Notamacropus eugenii: one gene and its partner. The main gene of each other region encodes a partner of the protein of the gene in region 2 in a complex. Links are inferred from orthologs where the notes say so. Each region holds a gene or a part of one and is shown on either strand. Other genes may lie near its edges.

Region 1 (10,887 bases), on a different chromosome or scaffold from region 2:
TTCGTGGGGAGCTGAGATGTTTCTGCTCTACCTGTCCCAGTAACAAAAGCTTGCTCCAACTGGTAACAGAAATAAATCGTGGATGCCAGCAATACCCACCCCACCATATTATTCTCTTCAGGGTCAAAGTCTTTTTCCTTTTTTTCCATTAAAACAAGTAACGTGGTCTGTGCTGAGGACCAATTAATGAATGCAGGTACAGAAAGTGATACCAGTTGAGCAAAGATCATTTCCTTTCCAGTGTGGATTGTGCTACTGGGCATATTGAGTGTCCTTCCAAATCCCCTTAAGATAATCCAGAAATTCACAAACATCCTATTGCATACTACCCGGCCCATCCATATTAGGTAAAGCTGCCAATATACCTGCTATTCAAGTGTTAGATAACAAGCGATATACATAAATAAACCAATAGTCACAGATGCAAGAATTGTTTTTGGTTTTGTTTTTTACCACAAAGGTTTTAGGGGGACAGGCACAAAGGGCAAAAGGGAGTAACATGTGACCCCCCACCTTGGCTGTCGACATTTGAGGCTGTACAGAAGAAAGGAAGGTGAGGGTTTCACAATCGGAATAATGATAATAATCTACCAGTGGCTCTGAGCAACATTACTTGATTTCAGAGATAATGAGACCTGTAGTGCCTGGGGACACAATACCATTTTCCCCAAAGGTGTTTAAATAATCACCTACTTCTTACCTTTAAACCAACCAAGGGCAAAGGCCTGCAGAGCTTTTAATTGAATGGGACTAATAATGTACTTCCAACTCAAAGTATCTAGTTTCTTCTCTGCCACAGAAAAATCTCCAAGTCCAAACAGCCCAGGCTAAGTAGCCCAAGGTGAGATTCACCTTCATGATTATATTTTACTTACTGTACATTTTTACCTACTGAAATGTGGGTATGGGAGACAAGAGACAGAGTTTCCCTTGGACTTCTGGATAAAGCCCAAGACACTAATGACTTTAATGCAATTCCCTCCACCAGTGGTTGGTGGTGACTTAAGTTCTGTGGTTTGGGGTTAGCTAAGTTCTACCCTGGATTGCCCTTTGACTCTACACTGATTGCTGCTGTAAATAACTCTGGGGCTTTGTCCATTAACAACCAAGGGAGCCCAAGGTAAGGAGGAGTCAATAGAGCTGGGCTGCTGTCCAAGAATAAGGGCACAACTCTCCACTAGAGGGCAGGTTTTCCAGTCAGAAGGCCCGCATCTGGAGTCATGTGCCGGCCCCAAGAGGCCAAAACTCTCAGGTTCACAAAGGCAGAAAAAAAAAATTCATGGCACAGCCCCAAGAAAACACCTTTGCTGACTGCCTTAAAGAGGCTTCTGGATCTATTTAAAGCCACAGCCTCCTTAATGAAAAATGAATTGTTTAAACTGATTTTTTTTTTGACACCTGCACAAGTTGGCAAATAAACACAAAATTCTTGCATTAAAACCTTATATCAAAACATGAGACAAGTCACTTTGAAGTTTCAAACTTCAACTGCAATGTGGTAGAATTATTCCCAATACAGAGATAAATCTTTTAACACTTGAAATATCCTATCTCCCCATGTAATATTAGACTTTTTCAACTACCCAAGGCCAGCTCCATTCCCAAGCAGTATTCCTTTCCCAGCAAAGTTCTTTGTGAGCAAATACAAATGCCTTAGTTTAAAACAGTTCCAGAGACCAAACCAGAACAGATGCTGAAGGGAAGGTTAAATTTCTGGAACCAAATGTTAAGTAAAGATAAACCACCACCAAATTTTCTCTTAAGCACTTATGACGTTAAAATTCAGCTGTTACAGGTTTTTCTGCCCCTTTCAGGCCACACCATGGTACCATTGTGGAAGACGCTATATTTCTTGGGTAAAGAAAGGACCACTCGCTTCCACAAGTACCTGCTGACTGGGGTCCACTGGAAACCCTCACCTAAGAGGCCTCATTTTCCCCCCCTTTCTCCCACCTCTTTAAGTTCACTAAGCAGAGAAAATGTTTTGAGGGAAAATGAAGGTAGGGCTAATATTCTGTCCCAGGGATTCTACTACCCCCTATACACACACCTTCCTGGCACCCACGGAGAACCTGGCTGTCATGAACAGATGGGGACCGGGCTCAACAGTACAGTACTGGTTAAGCAAAAACTCGTGAGTTAAAACGTTAAGCAGTCATACCTGACAATAGCCCAAATCTTGAAAATGTAAATTTGTAACACTTCGTTCAGCAGTCAGTGACATTTCTCAGATGAACTAGAACGTGATTCAATATGTTTGCATGTAGAACGTGTATTTACCTATATAAGCTCTTTCTTGCTCCCTTGTAAGTCCAGGGGGGATGACAGTCGGCATTCCCGGAATCACCGTCTTCTGTTCCATTGTATCCTGGTTCCATCGGCTCCTCTTCCGCTTCTTATTTGGGAAATCTGAAGGCAAACGTGGTTCGTTAGACCCAAACAAAATCTATGAGCCCGCAAGCGTATACCCTACCGTGAGCCAAGGGAGCCCAATCGTGGCCCAAAAGTTGGATCTCCACCCGCCACCAACAATGAAAAAGCAGCCAGGAGAAACCTCAGGGGACCCCCAATTTAACCCTGGGTCACTACAAACTCCCAGACATTGTGGTGACCGGGACTTGACCAGGGACTGGACGAGGACCACTGGCTCACAAGGCTTCCCTCTCAGAGCCTCCTCTAACAAAGGGGGGGGGGCATTTGGGTAACCCTGATGCCCCCCCATCAGAGCACAGCCAGGCCCAAGGCTCAGCCCCCCCATACAGCCAAGGGCAGGCCCAGGAAGGGCGGCGAACCACCCTCAGCCCCCCCCCCCCCCCCCCGCACCCCGCTCTCACCGCCCAGGCGGCCCAGCATGGCCGAGGCTCCTCTGTGGGCCGTCAGCCCTCCTTCCTCACAGACCTATCTCACCCCATACGGGGCGGGGGCGCCCCGGACCCCTCCCTCTCCACCCGTCCACCTGGAGGCGCCCGCGGTGGAAGCTGCCCCCGCTCCAGCCCCCTTCCCCCTTCGATTGGCTTTCAAAGACGCGCAGGCGCACCAAAATGCCCCGGCTCGGCCTGCCAAGCGGACGGCGCCTGCGCACAGTGCTTCCGCCCCTGCCCTGCCCCCCCCTCCCGGCCTGCAGAGGACGGCGCGTGCGCGCCCTCCGCTCCCTGGCTCGGGCTGCGCGCGCAGGCGGCGGCGGCGTGCCCCCCAGCTCGGCCCCCCTGCCCCCTCCCTCCGTCCCCCCGCTGCGCGCGCGCCCCCGCCCGCCCCCGCCGCCGCGAGCCGCCGCCGTGGTGTCGCGCGCCCCTCGGGCGGCCGGCCTGTCCGCGCGCCGCCGGCCTCTCTCGCTCGCTCTCAGCGTCCGACTCACCTCCTCCCCCGCCGGCCGGGCCCGGCTGCGGGTCCTGGAGCGGCTGCGGCGGCGGCTGCGGCGGAGACACGTGCTGGAAGAGCGGCGGCGGCTGGGGCGGCTGCGGCGGAGGAGGCGGCGGCGGCGGCGGAGGGGGAGGCTGCGCCTGCGGCTGCGGGTACGCGGGGCCCGGCGGCGGGGGCGGCTGCGGCGGGGGCCCGGAGGCCGGGCCGGGAGTGGCGGCGGGCGGCGGCGGGGGCGGGGGCGGCAGCGCCGCGAAGGGGAAGGCCGCGGCCAGCGGCGCCGCCATCAGCCCGGGGCCCACGGGCCCCAGCGGCAGCCCCGCCCCGGGTCCCGGCCCGCTCCCCCCCGGCCCCGGCGGCGGCGGCGGCTCGAAGGCCCGCTTGGGCCCGGGCCCCGGGGGGAGGCCGGGCGGGGCCGCGGCCGGCGGGTGCAGCTTACCCAGCGGCGTGGCGTTCGCTCCGGTCGCCATGGCGCCCCCGGGGACCGGCGCCGGCAGCGGCTGGGGCGGCGAGGGCGGCTCCGGGGCGGCGACTTGGGCTTCGCGAACCTTCGCGGGGCCGCGGCGCGGGCGGCGAGCCTCCTCCGAGCGGACCGGACCGCACCGCACCGCGGAGCGAGCGCGAGCTCCTTCCTCTCACGCGGCGGGCGCGGCGGCGACGACGGCGGGCGGGCGGCGCGAGACGCACAAAGAGGGAGGAGGGGGGCGCCGGGGACCAGGGGGCGGGCCAGCGGACCGGCCTTCCGCCGCCGATTGGTGGACGTTAGGTCCAGGGCTGGGATGGGAGCGCTCGGATTGGCGGAACTGCGGCCGGGCGCTGGGTGAGCCGGGATTGGCCCGAGCCGTTAGGAAGAGAGAGGAAATGGCGGCGGGGATGGGAGGGGGCGCGGTGCGCTCTACATTTGTTACTGCGCGAACTGAGTTCTAGGCTACCTGGGGGTGGGGGTGGAGGCGAACTCTATGACGTCAAGGAGCAGCGGCCCTCTCATTGGCTGAACTGAGTACAGTCCATCAAGCGCAGAGGTGGGTCGGGATTGGCTGCACCGAGTTCTCGCCTCTCGCCCCGCCCCCCTCACCCTGGGGAGCAGTTTCCCCCTGATTGGAGAAGAGGTCACGGCCTCGGAGTCGGCGCCAGGCCGGGGCTGGGGCGGGGGGGCGCATGCGCACGGAGCCCCATGGCCTCGGTAGCTGGGCCGACTCTGGTTGCAGAGGTGACCCGCCCCTCTCTGGCTTAGAGATGCTCCCGGACCTTGGCTAAGTGCTTTGCCACGTGATCTCAGGTCCCGCCCCCCCTCGCCCCCCCCCGCTGACCTGAACGGAAGGGACCTAAGTGTCCATCCCTGTCTAGACAGGGAAACTGAGGCACAGAGGTGGCCAGGCCGCCTAGCCCAAGACCACGACCTCCCGGACAAAGGTCTGGGCAGCCCAGGAACTTGATTTCCTCTTCCGCCACAGTGCTGCTCCCCCCACCCCGTCCCTGGCCATCCCCTCTGGTTTTGCTGGGGGCGGGGAAGGGCGCGATGACGTCATTGCCCCGCCCCACGATCCCCGCCTCAGCGCCACCCTCCCCTCTATACCTACCGGACCCATTTGGACCCACGCAGCCCCTTGTCCTGGGGTGGAGACCCTCCCTGGCCGTGGCGGGATTCCGCTCCTTCCACCCCCCATGCTGGCTCCTCCCGCTCATAGCTGGGGACCTGGCCCCTAATTATCTCACCACCCTTCTGGCCCTTCTCCTTGCCAAGGCTGCCCCCTCTCACTCCCCCCGGGCTAGCGCCTCCATCAGCCCCCTTCCTTCTGCCTGCAGACGTGCTCACTCCTCCCCTTCCCCAAAAAAACCTTGCTCTGGAGGTGAGGGGGAACCTGCAGCCTCGAGGCGCGGGGCGGGAGGCCCCTGCCCTAGACCGGACCACCCCCCCACTGTTCTCCCTTTCTCAACCTCTCTGCCCCTGTCCTCCAGCTGAACCCCGGCCCTCTCCAGAGTCCCCCGTGCCCTATTTGTGCCAAGCCTGTCTTTGGCCTTTGATGCTGTGGACCATGCCCTTCTCCGGCTTATTCTTCTGAATCTCCCCACCCGCGTTGTGGGATCTGACCTTGGGGGTTCCTCCAAGACTTGGCCCTGGGCCGGGCTGGCTTTTCCCTTTACAGCCTCTCACTTGGTGATCTCAGCAGTCCCCATGGACCTGGCCCAGGCCCTTCCCTGAGCTTGTCTCACGTGAGACGTCTCAAACTGAATGTCCCAAAGACCTCTCAGACTCAGCCTCCCCTCCCACATGTCCCTATTTCGGTTCGAGACTTCCTAACCTCGGGAAAGGCTCGCTCTCCCTCGCTGCACAGATCCAACCAGTTGCCAGAGCTTGCCATTTCCACTTTCACAACCACTGACACCTTTTTTTCTACCCTGGAACCTACTAGCTTAATTCAGACCCATATCACCCTGAAGTCATTTCCCCTGAGTCAATCCATCCAACAAATCCATCTCCCACCTCCATGTCTTTGCCTTGGCTATCCCTTATGCCTGAAATTCGCTCCTCCTTAAAGAGTCCCTTCTCTGTCTTGAAAACCAAGCTTGAACCCCATCTTCCTCTCTAAACATTTCCTGACCCCTTCCTTCCACAGGATGTCGCATATATTTGTATTTATTCACATTATATTTATGCCCTATTCAGGGGTGGGGGACTTGCAGCCTCGAGGACACATGTGGCTTTCTAGGTCCTTGAGGCGGCCAAAAGACTTGTTTACAGAACAAATCCTTTTATCAAGGGGATTTGTTCTGTGAAGTTTGGATCAGCAAGAGGGCTGAACTTGAGGACCTAGACCCTGCCCTATATCTTTTCATATGTACTTAAAATCTCCCCATTTTCTAATATCTAGCATTCATTTCTTTTGTACTTGTACTCCCAGGACCAGATCTTTAGTAAAAACTTCATAAATGCTGGTTGATTTTATTGTTACATCTAAGATCAAATATAAATTCTTCAGCTTGGTATTTAAAGCTTTTCACAGTCTTGTTGTTCAGTTGTGTCAGGTTTTTCATGTCGAGATATTAGATGGTTTGCCATATTCTTCTCCAGTTCATGTTACAGATGAGGATACTGAGGTAAATAGAGTGAGGTGACTTACCCAGGGTCCCCCAGCTAGGAAGTATCTGAGGCCAGATGTGGGCTCAGGAAGGAGTCTTCCTGGCTCCAGACCTAGCCGCTTCACCCCCCTTCCCTGGTCTCTGGCCACCCTTTTGGACTCTGACATTTACAGCTGTTCCAAGAACAGACCCTCCCTCTCTTGGCTCTTGCCATTCTCTCTGGCTGTCTCTCAGGCATCCTACTGGAAACCTTCCCCAGCCCCTTAGTTAATTAATTCCTATTTATCCTGTCTAGGGCTCATTGGTATGGGATTGGTTTCAAGTTTTCTCACCCATTCAGCCAGGAGCCCCTCCAGGGCAGGGGCTGACTTTGGTCTTTCTTTGTATCCCCAGCACTTAGCACGGACTTGGCACTTAGCAGGTGCTTCATTGGGGTTGCCCAATTGTTGCCTTAACTAGGTGAGAGAATGGAGGAGTGAGCATTAACTTCCTTAGAACCATTCCAAACTGGGAGAGACTGGGTTATTCCATAAGCAATTTGTCTAAGTAAGAAAGAGAAAATCTCTGAGGAGGAGGGGGACAAGACAGGACACCAGGGAGGAAATTCAGAAGGTCTGGATTTCCGAGGTCGGTGCGAAGAGAGGAGGCCTAGGAAGTCCTGAGAAAAACAGGCCAGCCTTTTTCCAGCTCCCCCTTCTTCCATGCCTGGCGGTCCTCAAACACTCCCACGGGAAGGAAAGTTTTGTTACCTAAGTGTTTACAATAAACTGGATTAAGTTTGCAAGAGAAAGGAACCCAGCCTCTTCCAGGTAGGAGGGATTTTCCTGAGGGCTCAGAGCAATTGGAACTTTTCATCTGAAAACAAACGCAAAGCTAGAGAGGGGAGAAACCTGGGGACCTTAGAGCCCGTTTTATTGACTGCAAAATAAGTTAATTGCTTTGCCCAAGTGCTACCCCAACTTTCTGGTCTTCCAGGGTCCAGCCCACTGTCTCCCACCTAGTTCTATCTCCCACCTAGTTCTGTCTCCCACCTCCCTTGTCTTTCTGGGTCTAAGGTACACCCCACCCTAACACTCAGAAAGCACTTCAATGCTGGGTGACTGAATGATGAAGGGAATTCACATCTGTAAATCCTTCACAAACCTTAAAAGCAGTTGCTTAAACTTTTCTAACATGGAGCCAAACAACAGGTACTGCATGGTACATATAGTAGAGGTATAGACCAAGATAAGCACCAAGTAGAAAAGTCATTTGGGAGGGGGAGGCCTTAGAGACTGGGGTAGGGGGAGAGGAATGGTGCCCAGGAAAGGCCTCCTGCAGAGACAGTGCTCCATCTGAATCTTGAAGAAAGCCAGGAAGACCCGGAAGAGGCATCGGGAAACAGTCAGTGCACAGATGGGAATTAGAGTGGACCAGCAAGGAGGCCACTTAGGTCAGATCATAGAGGTCTGTGGACAATAAGGTCCAAGAACCAGGGACCAAGTTGGAAGGATTTGTATTTGATCCTGGAGGCAAGAGGTACTGCAGTCTATAGCAGTGTAGGACTGGCCTGGGTTAGACCTGCATTTTAGGAAAATCACTGGGGAAGGAACTGAGAAAAGATGATGCTCAACTTCCCCAGGTCACCAGAGCCAGCCAGAATCTGAGACTAGGAACTTTACCAAATGCATTCCAATAGATTTGCCGAGGATAGCAAATGGAAGAGTGTAGGAGGGTGTCTCATGCCCCCACCCCCTGGAATACAGCAGCTAACAAGATGTTCTACACCAGATAACTCTGTGGTGGAGAATATCTCCTTGATTGAGTTCTGGGAGCAAATATTTAAACTAAGTGTGAACAATCTTTAGATACCACTACTGAATCATTTAATTAATCAGAGCTATAAACTAGATGTGTACAAGAAGTGCTTCAGGCCACTGAATGAAATCAGATGGCAAGATGTATTAGGATTGATTAAAAATTCTAAATATAAAACTGCAAAATAATTACGAATGCCTTATGTAGGACATTCTGCAAAGATATAATCCAGTAAGACCTCACATGCTTCTTATCTGCAAGACTTCCTATTAAGTTTATTTTACAAATTTTGTTAAATAAGAAAATCATTTTTACTGAAATAAGTTGTAACTTGGAAAATGTTTAGTAGAATATAACAATCACCTATAAAGTTAATTTTTATGCTGGACTTTATTTGAATAAAATTTTGTAGTATTTGGTTGAATGCCAATAAACAGCCTTAAATCTGGTTCTGCATCAATTTCTGTGTTTTGATTTAAAACAAGAATAATGTCTTTTGTTCACACAAATAAGAGGTGGAAAATGGCAGGAGAATTTTATAAGTTTTCTGCTGAAAGATGGAAATTCATTTTTTTATTTCTAGCTGCCTAATCAATCATTGACAATTAATAGCTCATTAGAATATAAAGCATTTATTTATCTCCTGCCTTATCCCAAGTGTCGCATTAACTGGTAACTGTCCTCAGAGCACAGTTGCATATTTTTTTGTTTTTTTTAGCAGTGTTTGTGTGTAAACTAATCTTGGGAAGTGAAAGCTCTCTTCAGGCAGAGACTGTCTCTTTTTCCACAACTGGCGTACCAGTTACACTCTCATAGAAAGTACAGGAACACTGTCCAGTGTTGCTGCCTGGTCCAATTGAATATCCACTAGAGAAGAAGATAAGTTTAAACTTAACGTCAGCCTCTGGACTTCCGTGAGAGGCCACAGAAAGTGTTTTGATGGTCCATGACGGTTTCATCAGATGCCTTCCGGGGTGCTGCAAGAGGGCCAACCTGAGACTGTGATTATACAGCTGATGAGGTCTGATTACAGGGTGACAGAAGGGAATGAGGGAGCAGCACTGGGGCAGCCAGCAGAGTGCTGATGAGTCTGTGAGCACGCTTGCTTTCCACCATCCCTTGGGAGTCCATTTGCATTAGAATTTGAATCCTGGTGGTGACTTGAGAACAATTTGATGACAGGTTGAGAAACTGCAAGGACTCATCAGATGCCATCAGATTTTGCTGTAGCTGCAGCATGAACACCAAAAATTGTGTGCATGATCATGACAGTTTGGGGTCACTGCAGAAACAAACTCATGATGTCTCATGCACATGCTGGGTATCACCCAGGAAAAATATATTTGCAACATAATTGGACTATTATTTACCTCTCAAGGCTCCATTAAGGCATCTTTAGCACGTTTCCAGCTCCCAGAGGGGATTCCCTGAATTAGACACCCCTCTGGGCCTACACATGTCAGAGAAGCATTCTAGCAACTTCTTTCAAAAATTAATCTTTGAGATCACTTTGAGGACTATGATCAAAGGACAGCAGTGTGGGAGGGGAGTCACCCCAGAATTAGTGTCTCCATTCACTCCCCATTGACAGTGTCAGGAACATTAATGCAATCTGGCCACACTGAAAGGCATGTTTAGGGCGCATGACCCCTTCAAGAGGCTACAAAGATCTCAGTTCTTGGGGCCCAGCAGAGTGCTACACATGCTGCAGGGGGATGTCATGAGGAGTCCAGAAAAGGAGGCCACAGGAACAGTGAGTTGCCCCTTTGCCTTGTCATCCCTAGCTAGAGACCACTTTCCCCCGTATCTGTCGGGCCATGTGCCCCAGACTTAGAGGGAGAATGTCTGTGCCCCCTCGCAGATCCACCCAACTCAAAACGGATCACTTTAAATGGAACTGAAATCGACCTCTTTGTCAATTCCCACCCACTTTCTGGGGCCAAGGGGAAGAGGTAGAAGCCCTCTCCTGTGAGACAGCCCTTTGGATATTAGCAACGATCCCGTCCAGAGCCTTCAGAGGACAATGTTAAATGCTATTTATAAATACTATTAAATAATAGAATATAACAATATGTTTATAATAATATTAAAGAGGAGGATAGTCAGCATGTATGTGGCACAATGTGCCCAGCCCTGTGCTAAGCCCTTTGATCTTCACAGCAACCCTGGGAGGCAGGTGTTATTACTATCCCCATCTTACAGATAAGGAAACTGAGGCCAAAAAAAAGTTGACTTTTGCAGGGTCTCAGGCTAGATTCAAACTCAGGTCTTCCAGCCTCTAGGCCCAGCTCTCTGTCCACTGTGCCACCTAGATGTGCTTCACATGGCAGCATCTCAAGGCTCTTCATCTGGTTGCCAGCTACACGATGCTGGCTGATTTATCATTGTTTCTGAAATGTGTCACCTAGAATCAAGTAGAGTTCTCTTACTCTGTATGGAATTGGAATCCAGCTCAAGCCTGGGCTGCCTCGCTATAGCTGAATGGTGCAATGGATAGACACCTGGAGTGAGGAAGGTCTGAGTTCACATCCAGCCTCAGACACTAGCTTCTTACCCCAGGGAAGTCTCTTTGCCCTGCTTGCCTCAGTTTCGTCATCTGTAAAATGAACTGGAAAAGGAAATGGCCAACCCCTCCAGTATCTCTGCCAACAA
Region 2 (10,876 bases):
GAGCCCATTTAATTTGGTTCATGAGTATCATGAAGGGCAAGGACTGATGTTTTAAAGTATAACATATGAAGCCAAATCCCCTCCTGCCTTTTTTGATGTGAATTAGGAATGAAGTTGCAGTGAAAATCTTTAGATTTTCTCTCAACCAATTTTAAGGAAATATTTTGCAAATAAGAAAAAAAGTTTAAGAAGTTTACTTCATAAATCAATCACATTAACTTGTACTGAACATGTAAGACTGCCATCAACTTTAGCTTTTCACATAGCCTACAAATCAACCTTAGGATGAAATATGAAGAGTAGCCACCACATAGCTAGACTCCCCAAATTCTAAGTCCCAAAGACAAAACTTTATTAATCAAACTGCAGAAATGGTTAAACTATATGATAGAAACCCCGCCCCCGCAACTTTGGCACTCCGATGCATACAGGTCCTTTGCTTTTACTTCTTTTTACTTCCAGCCATTTCACTGCTCATGAATACCTCTACAGAGGATGGGCAAGTGAAATGAAAGAAGATGAAAAGTGAAACAATTTTGCCATTTATTAGTAATATTTTGGTGGTTTAACAGTGTGTGGGTTTAAATGGAGTATTTGAATCATCCATGGATTTTAATTATCCATGCTGTCTCTGTCTCCTGTTACCATTGATAACCAAGAATTGGCTGTGCCAAGATCCAGGGCTCCATTTTTAAATTCTAAAGACATCAATAAAAATAGGAGCATCTATAAGTATCTACGGCAAGTAATGGAATGAGATTCTCTCTGTGGATCAGAGTTGAAGATTCCTGAGACAGCCACTTGTTATATTTACAGGAGTCAGTAGAGAGATGGACTCCTCAAAATTTGAGCAATCAAATGACATGTGCAAGCACATGACATGGTGGCTTTTGGAAGAGAACGTGGGAAAAACCACAAAGCACAACTGTCCAATGTCTGAAAGAGTATGTAATTAACTGGGAAATAAACCCCAAAAGATAGTGGTCACTTCAGCATCTAAACGAGAAAGGCCTTAAGGTAAACTGTGACCAGCTGACAGCATACTAAGACAAACCAAAACAATTATAAAAAGGTAAAGTCTTTGCATTTAATTAAAAAATGACTAACTAGTGTCTTGGTTTTGAAAAATAGTGCCATAGCACCATAGCAAGGGTAAAAGCAGGTCAATCCCTTGCATAACTTACCTTGATTGGCCCAATGGAAACAGAAGGCCCCAGAAAAGAGAGAAGCATCTGGCAGTAGCAAATTGTTTTATTTTATCTTTCTGTGGAAAGAAACTAATTTTAAATAAGAACCAGAGCATTTAAAGAATAAATATTTTTTAAAAGCTCAATATCTAGTTAGAGCAGCTCTATCAAGAAACCAAGAGCTCCTTGCTGCTTGGGAGATTGTAAGGAACAGAAGAAGGATCACAGAGTTGTTTTTCCACCACCAAGAGAATTTTGAAACTTATGTTGTTCCTAGGTCAGAAGGCCAATGGCTCAGTTATTTAAAGAGATGCTACAGGCAAAGAGCCAGTCTCTTCGGCCAGATACTTCTGAATAAAGAGTTTTAAACCACTTACTGGTTTAACTATAGAAAAACTACACAGAAGAAAAGTATTTGTGATAAACCTTTCTATTCTTAATTTAAAATAAAAAAAAAAAGGGACTCTTTTTCCTTCCTGGCTGCTATGCAATTTCACTATGAACAATGATCTTTTAACAAATATCAAACTAAACAAAACTAACTAGAGAAAGATCATACTCAGCACCCTTGATTGCCTCCATGTGATATTACAATCTAGATTTCTGATGACTTTTCAATATCAAGACTCTTATGGAGAGAAACCAGCTACTTATATTTCACATAGCATCTAACAGACTTAAAGTATAAATATCAGTCACAATTACTGAATTTAGTTACTCTCCCTGATTAGAACACTACAGGGTCACTGAGTTAGCACTAATGAAGCTTTCTGATACAAATCACTCCTATTTACAATTTATACTAGAGAGAGAAGGGATAGTTCATCAATAGGAGTGAAGAAAATCAACAAGCACTTTCTTAATTCAAAATAAAAATGTCCTACAGAAAATTAGCAATGTGGAACAGGAAAATGCAAGAAGACTGTTCTGGTATCAAAAAATGCGATAACACTCAAATTCTAAGGCAAACACCTAAACAAAGTTGTTGATGTAGGTTTTCCTATTCTTATATACATTTACCTCAGTTGGGTAACCCACAAAAGACATGGTGAAATGAACAGAAAGTTTCTAGATTTGCAGCTAGGGCATAAGACAAAATTGACTTGCCTGAAAAGATCCAATCAGTCAACTAAAAACATAACCTTTAAGCTACCAAAAAACTGCTATTCAAAATGGAAATGATGAGCATTTTTATGTGGACGACAGCCTCAATACAGCAAAAACTCTGGTTACGGACAGAATTCGACATTTCATTTCACTTGAAACCTTTGAATGTGTTTTTGGGGAAATATGAATCTTAGACTCATTTACTAACACTTATCCAAGCTTTAAATTATTTATCACAGTAATGCTACAAAGCAAATATAATTTTAAAAACTGTCTTACTTGTCCCATTGGAGGACCTCCCATAGGGGGCATCATTTGCTGCATCATTCCATGAGGTACAGGTTGCATATTTCCTCTCTGACCCATAGGGTGCATTCCCATGGGTGGATAATGCATGCCAGGGTGTCCCATCTGAAAAACAGTGTTAGTGAAGAAAACATCAATTAACAATAAAGTCTTCCCACCCCCAAAGCATCAAGAATTGTTATCACTGAAGTAAGGTGGTAAGGTATTTGGCAACACTGAGGAACTTGAGACTTAACCATTTATAAAATATGGACTTTATAAGGGAGGGAAGAGTGAGGAGAAAAACTGCCTGTTTATGGATAATCAAAAATGACGAAAAAGAATTAGTATCTTAGTAAGTTACTGCGCTAAAATATAGTATGCCAAGGAAACGAAAAACTCATTTTAAGACCAATTCTGGGGAAGAAAAGAACTCATTATTATTCTGCCTATGTATCAAGGCCGGCTTTTAAATTTTAGACTAAATTATTTTGTCTTACAAATAAATGACGGGTTATTTTAAAAGGTTCAATGAATACTACAAAAGCTACCTGTGGTTGTTTTTCTAATGTCAAACCTGTCATTTCCCCGAAAAATTCTTACTAAGGTAGATCAAAACATTCTGTCTCTCTGAAAAGCTACTTCATACCACTTTCAGCTCTAAAAGTAAATAACTACTGCTGGTTGGCCATTCGGCAAGCTATGTACAAAAAGTGCCATAGAAAGAGTACCTGCTTTACTAAGTTTATAAAATCCAAATAATTTATTTAGGCCACAAAGGTGCCCAATCACACAAAGTAATTACACGCTTAGCAACTCAACCCAGCTTTGCTCACTCTTTCCTTTCTTTCATTACAAGTCACATTCCTCCCTTCACTATCCTGGCCAAATCAGGCCTGCACCCCAAAGCAGACTTCTGCTGCCACCACCCAGCCACCAGTTCTGTCCAGAGCTCCCTCCTCCATCTTCGCCACAGTAATACCCACCTCCCAGGGACCCACAGCCTTTCCTTTGTGCTACTCCGCCCTCCATTTCCCTCCGTCAGAGCCAGATCCCGCCACCTCAGGCCTTCTCCTCCGTCCACCTTTTTTTTTCTTCCCCACAGGGAGAAGGCTTCCTGTTTCTTTTTTTCATTGTGCCGCTTTTCCCCCGCCCCACCGCTCCCTTACCGAGGGCCGTCTCCTCAGGTAGCCGTCCGCAGAGGCCCATGGGCTGGAGCAGAGGCTCGAGCTGGACAGTCTCCGCTCCCCGTTCCCGGGACCCCGCGGTGGAGGGCGGTTCTCCATTTCACTCACCATGAGGCCTCCACGCTCGACTCCCGTCCCCGGCCTCATCGTCGGGCTGAGGCTGCTCCGGCGGCGGCCGCTGCCGCTACACATTCCAACAAGGAGCGATCTGAGTGGCTGGCGCCCGCTGGGGCCAAAGGGTAGAGGCTGCCCGGAGCTGCGGGGCGGGATCAGCGGGGCCAATAAGCTGACTGGCTTCCCCGCCGTCCAATCAGAGCGCGCAGCTTGCACGCAGCTCTGCGGCGATTCGCCCCCGGCCTCGGCCTCGCTCGGCGTCGCCTGCATGGAGGGGGGGAGGGGGACGGAGGAAGTTTCTGCGCCGAGTCCCCCGCCGGGAAAACTCCACCAACTTCCCCCGGGGAAGAGAAGAGTACGTAGGCCCCAGCCTCCCGGGCCTAACAGCCACCTCACCCCGTAGGGGGAGGGGCAGTGGGGGGGCTGCCGCCTTTACCCCCCACCCGAGTTACGCACGCCCCACAAACCTGAGGCCGCCGGGGAGCCAGGAGGGGGGGAAGCAGCTTCTAGCGTTAGCGGTGGCTGGGACAGGATGCGCGCGCGCGCCGCTCGAGGTTGGGCGGGGGAGGGGGGAGGAAAAGGGGAGGGAGGAGGGGAAGAGGAGGGGGCTCGTGGACGCGGAAGGCACCGGGTGAGAAAGCGCGAGACTGGCGAAGCACGCGATGGCCGGGGTGAAGAGCGGCGAGCGTGACGCGGCACTGCGCGAGAAGGGAAGTGTGGAAGTGGGGAGGTTGAAAGCCGAATAGGGGGATGGGAAGAAGCAGTTTAGGCAAGAGAAGAGACAGGCCGTCGCGCGCTAAAGATGCCGTGTAGGCGGAAGACGAGAAAGCCCCCTCGCGTGCCTAAGAGGGGACGACGGAAGAAAAAAGCAGACGGACTAGGGAAGGGGTTTCAGAGGGGTGCGGACGGCAGCAATGGCGGCGGGCGCTAGGACCGAGCGCCCGAATTTGCGGCTTAGGAGTGGCCTGCTGGGCCGTGAGGCACGCGGCTTGCCTGGAGGCTACGCGGTGGTGGAGGCGGAGGTCTGGGGGCTGGGACCCTACACCGCCGGTGGGGGGAGGGGGGGACGCTGTCCTGTTGGAGATGTCTGCTTTCCCCTCCCGTCCTCTTCTCCGTTTACCCCTGCTTCCCTCTGCCTTCCTCCTCCCTCAGTCCCCAGCGTGGGGTTCATTTCTCGTTGCACTTTTCCCGGGCGCTCTTGCGGCCCCCTCCCCATGCTTGGGGCGCTCCCCCCAGGTCTTTTTTTGGTAGGCCCCGGAGAGCCTTCGGGGCGCTAATTGGCTAATGGGGGGAAGGGGGAGGGAGGAAATCCCTGAGCTTCCGGGTTCCGTTGTCCGTTTTCCCGCCATGTCGTTCTTGGCTAGTGGGAGCCGATCGATTCGCCAGCGTGGACTCGGGCCTCCGGCCTCCCTGGTCCTGCCTGCCAACGCCTCCCCCTCCCAGGTTGGGGGTAGCTGGGGGGAAGGCGAGGATGATGACGAGGACGGAGGGGTGGACGAAGTGGTTCGGGACCTGCGAGCGGAGCTCTTGGCGGACACGCCGCCGCCTCAGCTGCAGAAACAGAATGGGGTGACCGTGAGAGTCCCGGAGGCCGCCCGAACTCCCCGTGGCCAGCGGTGGCCGGTGCGGGTCCTGTCGGTGGTCTGTTCTCTTCTTTTCGCCGCCCTCCTTGCCTTCCTGCTAGCTATCGTCTACATGGTCGTGAAAGGTACTGGGACTGCCCGGGGAGCGTGGGGGCGCCGAGCAATGCCGGGCCGACGGCCGAGTGGAGGGGCGTGGGACCTCGGCTTGTCCGTTAGTCAGCTAGTACTTGTCCAGGCACTGTGCAAAGTGCTGCTGGTGACAGAGGCAGAAGGCAGCCCCTGCCTTCAAGGACCTCTGTCTAATACTGGGAAAACTAGATGGAAACGATTCAAGTCTGTACAGGTTAAAATGGGGGACGGTCTCAGAGGAAGGACTGGTAAAGGCTTGTTTGCGGAGGGCGAGTGGGGAGGTGGGGTCTTAATACTCGGATACCTTACCGACCCACTGGTTCAGTCATCTCAGTGTTCTATTCTTTGGGAACCCGCTTGGGATTTTCTTGGTTAAAATACTGGAGTGGTTTATCATTTCCTTCTCCAGCTCATTTTACGGAGGAGGAAACGGGCAGACCGGGTTAAGACATCTCTGGGGAGAGTCTGAGGCCAGATTTGATAGAGCCCCCCAGATACTCACCAACTACTGTCCCAGAGCGATTAAGCATACTGATTTCATTGTATGGAAGCTGCTATTAGCTCAGTTTATTACTTGTCATTGCCATTTTAAAAAATCTTTTTTTATCATCTTTTATGGAAGTCGGAAAACCAATGATATGGAAGTGCTGGAGTTAGGGGCTCTTTTAAAAATGGCAATTCATTGGCTTATACTTCCAACAAATACTTTTCAAGCACTTTCATAGTAAAATTAGTAGTGGAGATCCAGCAGTAGTTAGATGGATCACATCTCACCCTCCACTTCATAATCACCTGCCTCCCTAGGATTGTTTTCCAGTCAGATATACTAACCCTTCTTCATCCTTTACTGCCTAACAATATGATTCCTTCCATAGCTATGCACCCTCCCAGTCTCTCCCTTTTGGTCTTATTTGGGCTCTAGACGGTTATAGCCTAATTAAAACCTGAGCACTATATTAGCTGGTAGTACAACATCAGTTGAAACTGCCCTTCTCTCTACCCCCAGCTGCTGCCGTATTTCAGGCTTTCATCATCCCCTGCTGTTGCAGTAACTTCCTAATTGATTTCTTGTCTCAGATCTCTTTTCTCCAGTCTGTTCTACACACAGTTGCCAAAGGGATTATTATCCTGAAATGCTGGTCTGACCATGCATATCACTCCTGTACTTGGTCCTATAGTTCTGTATTATAGGATCAGATATTATTTCATCATATTGTGAAAATTTTGTAATATAGATAATTAGTACAGTAGCACCTTTATAACTTATAAATAAGTAAATTTGTGTATTAGGGGTAGGTGCTCAAAAATTTTTTTATTGATAAGAGATACAGAATCAAAAAAGTTTGGAAACACTAGTCTGAATTTAGACCATTTATCTTATCAATGTCTGGAGTTTTGTTTTTTTTTTTTTAAATAAAAGGAAGGTAGTACCTACCTACCTTAGTTATGTGAAACTTTACAAGGATTATGTGTACATATAGTCAAGTCAATAAGTATTTACTTTTTGCTATGTCCTAGGGATAAATATGTGGCCAAAAACAGCCCCTTTCCTCAAAGAGCTCATAGTCTGATGGAGGAGACAACATACAAACAACTGTATGAACAGATTGTATACAGGATAAATAGGAAATAATCTCAGAAGGAAGGCTCTAAAGTTAGGACTAGTAAAGGCTTCTTACAGAAGGTGGGACTTGAGGAAAGTCAGGATGCAGAGATAAAATAAAAATGAAAAAAAATCTTTGTTAGGAACTCAATCCAGAATCCACTTTGTCCCCCCTCATTTTGCATGATTCCTAATGGAAGGCATTGCTACCTAGTGTCCATGGTAGGTTTCATACAGAAAAGACAATTTATCATAATGTTTGAAGGATTAAGTTCCACCCCCAAATACTCCTCTGATGTTTCCTGTCAGTGCTGTTTCCTCTTAATGAATTTCCTTATTTGTGGTTAGGGTATTATTATCCCCCTTACAAGAGCTCACAATCACTCTAAACTCATCTTCCTTATCCAGTCAGTTGGCTAGTCATGAAAATTTTTTTGCCCCCCCAAGCTCTTGCATCTGTTACTTGTAATTTTCTTTCCATTGCAGCCATTTGCCTCTTATCTGGCCTATTACAAAGCCTCCTTATTGGTCTTCTAAGCGTCTCACCTCTCAGTCTTTCACAGAGCTGCCAAAGTGATATTAATGAAGCATAGGTCTGACATGTTCCACAAAAGATCATATGCCTTTGAGATACAAAAATACTTCACCTTACCTTCCAGATTTATTACATGTCCTATCTTTCAAAACTCTTTAAATTAGGCAAACTGGCCTCCTTACTGTCCTTTACGTGTGACGTTCTGTCTGTGCTTTTGAAGCTTTCTACTCCTTTACCTCTTAGAAGCCTTAACCTTGCTTAACACTTAACTCAGGAATTCCTACTCAAGGTTTTTTCCTGATCACAACTCTCCCTCATCCTCCAATATTACCTTGTACTTTGTATGTCTTTGTATGTATACCTATTTCACTTACTAGAATATAAGCTTGAGGGCTGGTTTTTTTTATTTTTAAAGTCCAGGTTCCTTTCACAAAGTTGATGAATAAGTGCTTTCTGATTTATTAGGAACTAAATTTTTTTACCAATCTAAACCTCCTTTTGTATTTACAGAATTGCATGCTGAGAATTTGAAGACTGAAGATGGTGTAGAAACTGGTTTATTAGGTATGAACAAAATAGGTAATTGGCTTACCAGATTTTTTGCTTTCTTCCCAGATGTGAAATTTATTGTGCAAATCAAAGTCAGGGGATTAACACCAAATGATAAAACATGTTCTATGAAGGAGTAATAGCATTCAGTCCTAACTAACGTATTTCCTTTCTTTGGTATTTACATCGTATTTGTAAGGTGACTTACACTCATCATGTAACAGTAAATGAATACATTTCTCCTTCCCTAACAAAATAGAAAATTTTATTACTATTCTGTCACTGGATGAGAAGTAGAAAAAGTACTCATTATACTTTTGTATATTTGGATAGAAGTATTTGAGAGAGTAGGTTAAGTTATCAAAGTCTACAACTATTCCCATTTTCCCTAAGGAGTTACTGGCTTTTTTTTCTGCTCTAGCTTCACAGGATCTTTCTAGGCCCTTACTAGATGGCTCTTAACTAGCCGCAAGGAAGTTGATTGCCTTAAACTGTCCTAAATGAGATATGGATAATTTGATTTAGAGCCAAGACAGGGTTAATATTTAAAAAAAAAAAAAAAAACCAAAACACCAACAGCTAGGAAAATCACACCTTTCCCTCCAAATCATAGAAATAAACACATTTTCAATATGTTATCATATAGACAAAGATTACCTCAGCAAGCACAGATTATAAGGTGTCTATTCTTCTGAACCTCAACCTTGTTGGTATTGTATGCAAAACAAAAAAAAGATGACACTTAGTATCATGTAGGAAATTTAGGATCTAAATGCTTACCAGATCTTGAAAAAAAATTTTTTAATCCTTCCCAGAATCATATCTCGGCCTGTTTCCTAGGATTTCTTTTGGCTCTGAGCTAAACCTCCCTGGCCTCCCAAATGGTTGAAGACATTGCTCCTCTGGCTCCAGTCATTAAAGTTGTTTTCCTACAATATTGAATATATCTCCTTTACTGTTTCTGAAAGTGTGAAAAGGCTCACTTATTAAAGTTAGTCTGAAGCATATTTACTAACCTTTTAAGGCTGATTCTATCCATAGGAGAAGCTGGTTTTCAGCTTTACTGAATAATAGACTCACAGCCTTGTGATCTCTGACTAGTGCCATCTTTCTGTGGAGTCTGTTTTTATTTATCATATCACTCATTCTCCTGTAGTTAATCCTTCATCTTGTTGAAAAGCTTGCCTCTTTTCAATGTTCACAAAATTCTTCTTTGTTGATTGGTTTATATCTCTGCTTCTTAGGTCATTTATGATACCAGAGCTATTTGGCATACCCAGAGAGTAGGAAATGATTAAGCCTCTCATCTGAGGCCTACGTCCCATATATCATTACTGAGGTCTAACTCCAGGAAGTTGTCTTTCAAAATCTTGCCATTACTATTTTGTAATGTAACCATAAAAATTAAGTGAGAGCAAAAAAGTAACTGGAAGCTTAAAGTCCATGGCAAACTCAGAAGAAAACAAGGACCACAAAGCCACTTTGGTAGATTAGTAGAGTTACAATTCTTACATTTCCCGCAAATGGTCTCAGTGATAGTAATAGCATTTATATAGCACTTTAAGGTTTGCAGACTATATGTTTATCTCATTTGCTCCTCACAATACCTCTGTAAAATAGTGCTAATTATTATCCCCACTTTTCAGATTAGGAAACTGAGGTCACAAGAGGTTAAATGATTTGCCCATGGTTACTTAGCTATTAAATAATTGAGGTGGGATTTAAACTCAAGTCTTTTCTGAATCCCAAATCCAGCACACTGTCTGCTGTGCTACCCAGCTGACTAATTGAATCAAAATATATATTGGGAAATGTTGTTTGAGAGCATTAGAAAAATTAGTGAAGATAATCTAACTTCTTTCTTAAATTTGTGTATCTGTGTTTTCCAGGGCTTTTAGAGAGGATGGGGATAACTGGTTTATAGACACGTATATGGGTTTGTACATTGTTCCTATAAAAAGGCAATAGCACTTTGGAACCAGAAGTTAAGTCATCAGAATGCTATGCCACTTTTTTTAATCATTTGTGCCATTTATTTGTTTTGAGTGGACCACAGTGCTAAACTTAATAAAATAACCTGTTAGTATGCAAAATTGGTGTCTTTCCGTTTCTAATATTTTTTTCTGCTTTACAGAAGCAAATAATCAGTCTTCTAAGTAGCCACTAATCAGTCTTCTAAATAGCTACTGAAAGAGACTATTGCTTGAATAATGAGTATGTTGAATATTTCTGGAAAGGGGGCAAAAGGATTTTCTTCTCTTTTAGAGCCTCTTCTGTTGGTTTGTTTTGTTTTTTGGTGACATATGTTGGCATTTTCCTTTCATGTATATTTTCTAATTAGACTTAAAACTTAGTGTATCCTTTGCTACTTGAAATACAACCAAAGGCATCTTCAGAAGGCTTTCAGCAAAGTACATGGTATGCATATATTAAGTGTTTGAGACTCTGTGACAGGTACAACCACAGAGATGAGATTGTTTATCATTCCCCCCATATTGGCATCAATCAAGGTGTAAGATTTATTCTGTAGAAGTGTTTGGGGTTGTTTGGAGGATATCCAGAGCAAAATTCAAAAAGACAAGATGTTTCCTTTAAAT

The links. Proteins that work in one complex are often made in the same cells at the same time.
Region 1: the proteins of PRPF40A (region 2) and SF1 are in contact, whole or in part, in an NMR structure (PDB 8PXX), measured with the Homo sapiens proteins. The link is inferred for Notamacropus eugenii from reciprocal best matches to the Homo sapiens genes PRPF40A and SF1. Residues at the interface, in NP_001352526.1 of Homo sapiens: His164, Ser166, Tyr172, Tyr174, Ser181, Thr182, Trp183, Tyr213, Tyr215, Ser222, Arg223, Trp224; in NP_004621.2 of Homo sapiens: Pro575, Pro576, Leu577, Pro578, Pro579, Gly580, Ala581, Pro582, Pro586, Pro587, Pro588, Pro589, Pro590.

The regions. Positions count from the first base shown.
Region 1 is NC_092873.1:17,540,539-17,551,425, forward strand, and holds the start of SF1 (splicing factor 1), read right to left. Parts: upstream 4,014-10,887; 5' UTR 3,828-4,013; coding exon 3,797-3,827; intron 3,486-3,796; exon of another isoform or gene 3,356-3,485; intron 3,013-3,355; exon of another isoform or gene 2,854-3,012; coding exon of another isoform or gene 2,835-2,853; intron 2,410-2,834; coding exon 2,281-2,409; intron 1-2,280. UniProt on the Homo sapiens protein: Necessary for the ATP-dependent first step of spliceosome assembly. Binds to the intron branch point sequence (BPS) 5'-UACUAAC-3' of the pre-mRNA. May act as transcription repressor.
Region 2 is NC_092876.1:210,020,555-210,031,430, forward strand, and holds the start of PRPF40A (pre-mRNA-processing factor 40 homolog A), read right to left. Parts: upstream 4,410-10,876; 5' UTR 4,151-4,409; coding exon 3,749-4,150; intron 2,706-3,748; coding exon 2,574-2,705; intron 1,265-2,573; exon of another isoform or gene 1,233-1,264; coding exon of another isoform or gene 1,185-1,232; intron 1-1,184. Other genes in the region: ARL6IP6 (ADP-ribosylation factor-like protein 6-interacting protein 6), read left to right, coding at 5,165-5,588, 8,241-8,309.